Linked DNA regions of Arabidopsis thaliana. The protein of the gene in region 1 interacts with the protein of each later gene in a pairwise test. Each region holds a gene or a part of one and is shown on either strand. Other genes may lie near its edges.

Region 1 (3,759 bases):
GGAGTATTGTTCAGAGCCTGAAAGGTATAATCACGAGCTGCTTCCGTTGGAAAGATCGAGAAACGATGAATCCTTGGAGATGTTTATGGAAGAAACAGAACCATTTGATCCATTTCCATGGCTGGACGAGACAGACATGAGTATTAGACCCTTTGAGAGTGTACTGTCTCTATTGCGAAGCACATTTTTGAGAAAGAAGTCCTAGAGAATATGCTAAGGGGAAATTCTATAAACGTATAAGATTTCTGAAGTAAATATGTAAAGATTTGAGATAAATATATAAAAGTAAATAATTCATCCTAATGATATAAATTTGAACCATTAGTTTTCTGATTACAGGATATGACAACTGTAGACATTTTGAAGTTAAACAACAGAAAAATCAGTTTTCATACAAACTCCTTTTTGGTCGGATTTCAGACCAGATCTTCTTCTGGTAGTAAAAAATGTTTGTGCAATTCTCTACTTCATAGTGCCATTTGATACTCTCTTCTATAAAAATTATTCTATTTTCCTAGAAATCAGTTCTACAGATTTCAAGTTTCCCGTGACAAGGATTCACATAGGTGTGTGTGTGAAAAAGAGAGAACGAGAGACAATTGAATTAATTTAAAGACCCGAAGCAAAGACAAGATTCCACCGAATGTCATTATCACTAGTGCATTTTAACCCCACATGCGACAACAGAGCGTGACATAAAAGCTTTTCCATATTTTTCAAAATGACACAGCTTTCAAAATTACAAAAGTGACTTCGAAATAAGTGAAACGATTCATAAGAAGAAATAAATTGAAACTAGGTTATATGATTATACATAAATATAGTCAAGAACAAGGACCTACCTGTTCCATCATTAACCGTGACACTTTGTCACTTAGCTTCATCTTTGGCCGCAGTGGCAGAAACGTAATAAGCAACACAGAAGAGGGCATGAAGAAAACACAAAATCCCTCCAATGGAGAGAAAATGGTGATGTGTGAATCCACAAGAGGATCTTGACTTACTGTTCGACATCGTCCCAATCACTATACTCCCAAATCCAACAGCGAATACGATCCTGTGATTACACCAGCCAATCATGTCATTTTACTTGGACCAACAATTATTAATGCCAAGAAGATTTTGTATTAACGTACCAAGTGAGGACAAGACAAGCCATGGAGATTTGTCTAGTGGAAGAAGATCTTTGAAACTCGTCTTGAGAGCAAATACAAAGACAGCCTCCGACCAAGTTAAGTAGGACATGAGCCATTACCAATATCGCGGCTGCACCTAGACCGAGCCTGAACGCGTCCTGGCTCGGCTCTCTGCACTCAAATAACCAAAGCCTCATGTGCTTCACCTACAATAGAGGAAATCGATGGTTTCATTTGTTAAAAAAAAATCTATTAATTCAGGTTCCTAATGTTTTTTTTTTTTTTTTTGAGAAAATTTCTAAGTTTGAGACAGTATGTATGTTATGCAACCATCATTACCAATTTTAGCATCATAAATTAGGGAAACAACATTTATTAATTTGAAAGAGAACATTTATTTTACCTGATTTTGGGCGACTTCAGCTTGGATTCCGAGGATTGCAGCAGCTACATCTAAGCCCACAATGACTAGACAAACAAGAATACCTCCTATCTTTGTCATTTTCAAATCTCTTAACTTAGTAGGATTTAGTTTTGTTGGAGATACTTTAAGAAGATACAATTTTGGAAAATGTGAATAAAGAACAGGAGAAGCTTCTTTATGAGGGCCGGGGAAGAATATTAGTTGAAGAGAGAATGAGAATGGGTAGTGGAAAGTCTTAACGAGTAATGATCTTTTATGACAAAATGGGTTGGTGGTATATATATAATAAAGTCGTAAGTAAAGTTGTGAGGGTGTGGAAGAAAAAGAGAGAGAAAGAGATAGAAGAACAACAAATATAGACAATGAGAGAAAAAGATATTTCTCCTGTTGGATATTTGTATCTTTTAGATTTTTTAGCTTACCTTTTAGTTGAATGTAGGAAATGAGACCTATAACGTTATATCATTAACTAGATTGCAATATATAATTACACTGGATAATTGATCGAATCAGATCAATTATAACCCCTTTTTTTTTTTGGTGAGGCTCAATTATAACCTTTTTGATTGATATTTAAAACATCCAAGTTAACATGAAAATTAGAAAGACATTAGTGTCTCTTATGAAATATCTCTTAATATATGCTAAATTTAAAATTATGAAGCTTTTTTGTTTGTCGACAATTTTTTTTAATTATGAATCAAAATGATAAATAATTGTATTGCCCTTAAAAATTAAATAATTGTATTGATATTTTTATTTACTCTTTAGTAGATATATAATTTATTTATCTAAAATTACTATTCACAAAAAAATAATCCTTTTACTTCTAAATTATCATGATAGTTTATACTTTATCTACTTTTGTAATGAATTCATTTTAGTAACTTATTCACAAAATTTCTTACTTTATAATATTCTAGATAAAAAGTCGAACAAAAATGTTTACCGAAAGCAAATCTCCGATTTGGATTAGTATTGTTGATTTTAGTGAAAAGACATAAAGCTATATTTTCGTTTATATTTAATACGATTGTTTGCTACATAGGTAATGTGCTTTAGCAAAGACATAAAGCTATTACAATTTGATGTTGATGTAGATAGAAATTCTAGTAGAAACTCCGAACAAATATAGGATTAGGTAAAACAATTGAAATGATTATCATGGGAATATAATCAATTTTTTAAAAAAAAAGGATAGAAGAAACATGGAATATGATTAGCTGGGATATGTCAAAAATAAAAAAGATTAGCTGTGGGATATGCATGTGGGTACTTTGGCCCAATAAAGCTTCTTTTTGTCCATATGGTCATGGAATGGCGAATTCGCTTTAAATAAAAATTATCGATTTGTTAATTAACATTTCTTCAAGTGAATAATTTATAGTTGCTTTTTATATATTTATTTGGTTTGGTTAAACATGGTTGGATTCTTTGTGTTGGGGGGGAAGAAAAGTAGGGCATAATACAACCCAACCAAGCATGGCCAATATCTTCACTTCTCTGTTAAAGAATCAAATTTATGTTCCTTAATTCCACAGTAATTATGTAGAGAATATATTATTTATAACAACATCATTTGACAATATGGGAAAATTTTAGTTCTAACCCATAGTCGGAACTCGCAAAATCTCCGAACTAAAACAGTTCATATAAAGCGGTTGGCGTCTCGTTCACTAAACATCATTTTGTCATGTGAACATCATCGTGGTTTTATCCAAACAATAATGCAATAATCCAAATTTGTTTTTGAAAAAAATGAATATTCTAATTTCTAATTGTTAAGTTGTGCTTCGAATCACGCGGTTTAGTAATGGTTGTGTGACATTAAACCGAATTTGTATTTTTTTTGTTTAAATATTAAACCGAAGAAAAAATGTTAAACCGAAGACTAACTGAACCGGAATTGGCTGAAAATTAGGGTTTTACTGATTAATAGAGATAAGGTTTTTTATGAGCCGTGTTCATGTTGTTATCTTGTACGATAGATTTTTTGGCCATGATTCGTGAACCTCCGGATTTATGGAGCTCTCCATGATCTTGTGAAGTTAAGTTTATGAATTGTTCAATCCCGCTCTCGCCGAGATGTAGGATCAATATCACACCGATTGATCTTAACTAATAACTTCTTGTGTTCATCTACTTCTCTTATCTATCTTCTCCATCATTAATCTATATATGTTCTTGAGCATGAGTTGT
Region 2 (3,759 bases), on another chromosome or scaffold:
GGCGCCGGTTCTTCCACCGGAAACTGCATATCCGCTCGGGTTACGTGACGGTGCACCGGCGGCGGCGCATCCTCCACCACCGAGAGCATTGACGGCGGCGGAGGAGCTCTCGCGGCGGGAGGAAACATTGTCCGTCCAATCAAAGACCCGTCCCAAGAAGCTCTCGGCTCGTCAAACGAATAACGAGGATCATCAAGCGAGATCCTACCGATGTCAACGGAGAATCTACCGGCGTCAAGAGAGAATCTTCCGGCGTCTAGAGAGAATCGAGGGTCGGTATCGCACGACCTCCGACCATATCCGTAATCAGCAATCTCCGATTGAGTATCCCGGAGCTGTCTCCCAATCGGTTTCTCCACCGGTAATCTAGCTGATCCTGGCCGATGGTCGCCGCCGTTACGCCGCTTCTTCATCTTTTGATTCTGCCTCCATTTCTGAAGCTTCTTGCTGAAAACAGAGGCCGCCGACCAAAAACTCCGTCGTACCGATGGCTTCTTGGTTTGAGAATCAAGATCTATGTAATCCTTTATTGGCTTTAACTCCTCTTCGCTTAAACCCTTTGTTGGTTTCACCGCTTCTTCAATCTCCTCTCTAACTTCAACAATCTCGTCGCTTTTTTCCCTCATTAGTTCGCCGGAATCATTGAGAATCTCAAAGTCGCCAGCTTCAACGTAGTCTTCCTCCTCCTCCTCTTCAAGTTCTTCGTCGTCACTTTCAGCTTCTCCTTCATCGTTTACCTCTAGAACAGGCTCCGCAACGCTTGATTTCCTCGGCTCGACATCAATCTCACCGCCGGTGACATTGCTTGGAAGGTTTCGTTGCTCATCTTGGCTAAACAAGTTCCAAAGAGAGCTTCGAAGCCTGACGTCACAAGACCTACGTTGTGGCTCAAACACGCCGGAGAATCCTTCGTTGTTCTTGGATGCTGAGAAAGATTTCGTACGACGGAGCTCCGGGAAGAATCCGGGTTTAACCCGGCCGTTTCCGTTTGTATTTACACCGCCCACTCCGTTGTTTCCGGAAGGCTTAAAGAGAGCCTTGAGAGCCGCAGCAGAGATGGTCGGAGGCTTTTTAGAGGAAGAAGAGGAACCGCCATTGTTGGTCTGATCTAAGACTGAGAGACGTTCACAGAGACAAGAAGGGCAAAAACCGGTGAACCGCTCTTCTGGGTGACGGTTGCAAGAGGTAGAGAGACGGTGAGGCTGCGGAGGTTGTGGAGGCGGAGCAAGAGCAGCTGCGGCGGCGGAGACTGGGTCAGTAGCTGGATTCATGACGGGAAATGGTGGTTAATCCTCCCTCTGGTCTCATATACTATATCGTCATCACTGTCTGGTCTCTGGCTTATAGAGAGAAAGACAACACTTAAGGTTAGAGAGAGAGATTGGGTAGTGTTGTCTCTGAAACTTCGTCTTGTTCCAACGGTAATTGAAAGAGAAAGGAGATGAACAAGAAAAAAACAAAACAAAAGAATTATTATAGAAAAACCAAATTAGTGTTTTCAAATAAACAAAAGTTTTAGGATATGGTTTTAGCGTGTTAATGTACGGTTATCTAGAAATTTTGTTCAGATTTATTCATATGATATAAGCCAAATCTTATTTTTATGTACTATATCTAACATAAAACATATTAAACCTTTGTCCACTTCAATATTTTGCTTTTTATTTTCTTTGTCAGTTACATTTTTTTTTTGTTAACATGCAAATTAATTGGAGAAATATGATATGTCTAAATTGACCTTATGTTCTGTCGATTTTTGTCTCATGTAATGCTAATATAAACCCGTTACTTGTTGGGTCGGTGGCAAAGTGGATTTTTTTCCCTGCTTTGTCAAAAGCAATTTTAACTAAAAAATCAAAATTTTCACACTACTTTTGACAAAATTTTCAAAAAGCAACAACACATGCTTCATTTTAATCTAAAACAATAACTCTATCGTGATTCAACGATAAGTATGGGGTGCGTGTGTTATTTAGTACATGATGATTTTGTTGATCTAATAAAGTCCGTTTAAAGTTACAAACAAATTATTTCAACGATATTAATTGATTAGTTAATACTAGTAGTATTTTGATAGTGCTGCATCTTGTGCATTTCTTACAGTGCTACCGTAATAATCATGTCAATTATCGCATCAATCATAGCAACAGGCGTCAACTATGGAATTTACCCGCTTTAACCACAGTAACAACTAAGAATTTACTAGTATTTGTTTTTAATTTAAAGAAATTTTAAAAAGAGATACTTTGGAATTAAAAAGATTCGGACCCAAAAAAAAAAGGAAAAGCAAATCACGCCATCACACTCCTAATTTCTTGTCTCTATGACACTCTCTCCTTTCGCTTTCTCTCTTCTTTCCTTTTTCTTTTTCTCTCTTTTGTTTTTCTGTGTTATATATTCATACATTTCTCCAAACTAATCTTCTCGATATTCTAACATTAAGACGAAAAACAGAGGTTTAAAATTAAGACGAATAATTCATAACAAAAATCAAGTACTTTCAAAATTCATTTTTAAAGTTATACTGTTTGCAAGAAGAAGAGAGGTTATAGTCAAGAAAAAACACGAGAAAACATTGATCAAGTTTTCGTTATCAAAGACTGTATTATTTGTATGCTTTCTTTTTTTGTTGTGATATGCATTCTATATAACTTTAACTTTAGTTTTATTCCTTTATCTGATCAAATTTGTCTTGGCTTTTCTTTTCTTTCTGTTTTCCCCACAGAATAATATTCAATTTAGATATTCAAATATATATATTTGCTATTAATATGATTTAGGAACTATAGTACGTACGGGTCTCCGAATGTCTCTAGCATGGGAAACAAATATTGTCCTTCACCTAAACGCCGCTCGTTTGGTGAATCATTTTGTTCTTTCGTATAAACTACAACATACTGTACTAACATTCTAGTAACCATCGTAAGATATAATTTACTATCGTATTTTAATTAAGGTAATATTAGAGGATGACCAAATTTGACAGCATTATTAATAAAATAGCCTTCGTGCAGAAAAGTTGGGTAAATAACATTTTTTTATCCTTCGAAATAACTATTTTACCCTTTATAAATGAGATAAACTCTTTCTTTCCGACAATAGCTGCTACATGTAGGAAACAAAAGATAATACGAAATAATGATTACACCGCTACTTCTTAAAAAATCATGCAATATTAGACCACTACTTATTAAAATCACACGCAATATCTCTTATACCTTAAAAATGTATACGTAAAAGAAAACTTAGTTAAAAGATAGCCATTTAGAAACAGTTGTGATTGAGTATAGAAATATTGCATAAGATATTTAAGGACATGCTATTTATTTTTATTACATTAAAATGTAGGTTTATTGTTTTGACAATATGGTAAATGGGTTTCAACAGAGATAAGCAAACCACATATGTGTTATTTATAGATTACATGTGATTGTACAAATTTGCATGTGATTATAAAAAAAAACATAAATCATGAATCACTAACTTACTTGTGATTTTAGTAAAAAAACATAGATTATTTGTAAAATGCACATTATCTTTAAAAAAATATTATCTTATCAAAAAATATAAACGTTTTAGGAAAATATACATATCAAATAGAAAAATAGAAAAATAGCATGAAGTATTCAAAAATTACATGCTATCGTTTGAATTGAGACATACGGATCATTGTAATTTTAGTAAAGAACAAGTATTATTTAAAAGAAACTTTGAAAAATACAATGTTTTAGAATAAAAATACATGTCAACAAAAGTAAA

What was found.
Region 2: the proteins of AT2G32280 (region 1) and OPS interact in a two-hybrid assay, tested with the Arabidopsis thaliana proteins (one study listed by BioGRID).

What each region holds. Positions count from the first base shown.
Region 1 is NC_003071.7:13,711,089-13,714,847, reverse strand, and holds the start of AT2G32280 (GPI inositol-deacylase C, putative (DUF1218)), read right to left. Parts: upstream 1,883-3,759; 5' UTR 1,639-1,882; coding exon 1,540-1,638; intron 1,343-1,539; coding exon 1,137-1,342; intron 1,058-1,136; coding exon 871-1,057; 3' UTR 843-870; exon of another isoform or gene 349-842; intron 333-348; exon of another isoform or gene 206-332; coding exon of another isoform or gene 2-205; 3' UTR 1-1. Other genes in the region: BAM6 (beta-amylase 6), read left to right, coding at 2-205. UniProt on the Arabidopsis thaliana protein: Required, together with OPS, for embryo provasculature development and cotyledon vascular complexity and connectivity.
Region 2 is NC_003074.8:2,769,667-2,773,425, forward strand, and holds the start of OPS (LOW protein: UPF0503-like protein, putative (DUF740)), read right to left. Parts: upstream 1,710-3,759; 5' UTR 1,272-1,709; coding exon 1-1,271. UniProt on the Arabidopsis thaliana protein: Potentiates primary root protophloem differentiation. Required, together with VCC, for embryo provasculature development and cotyledon vascular complexity and connectivity. Regulates roots architecture.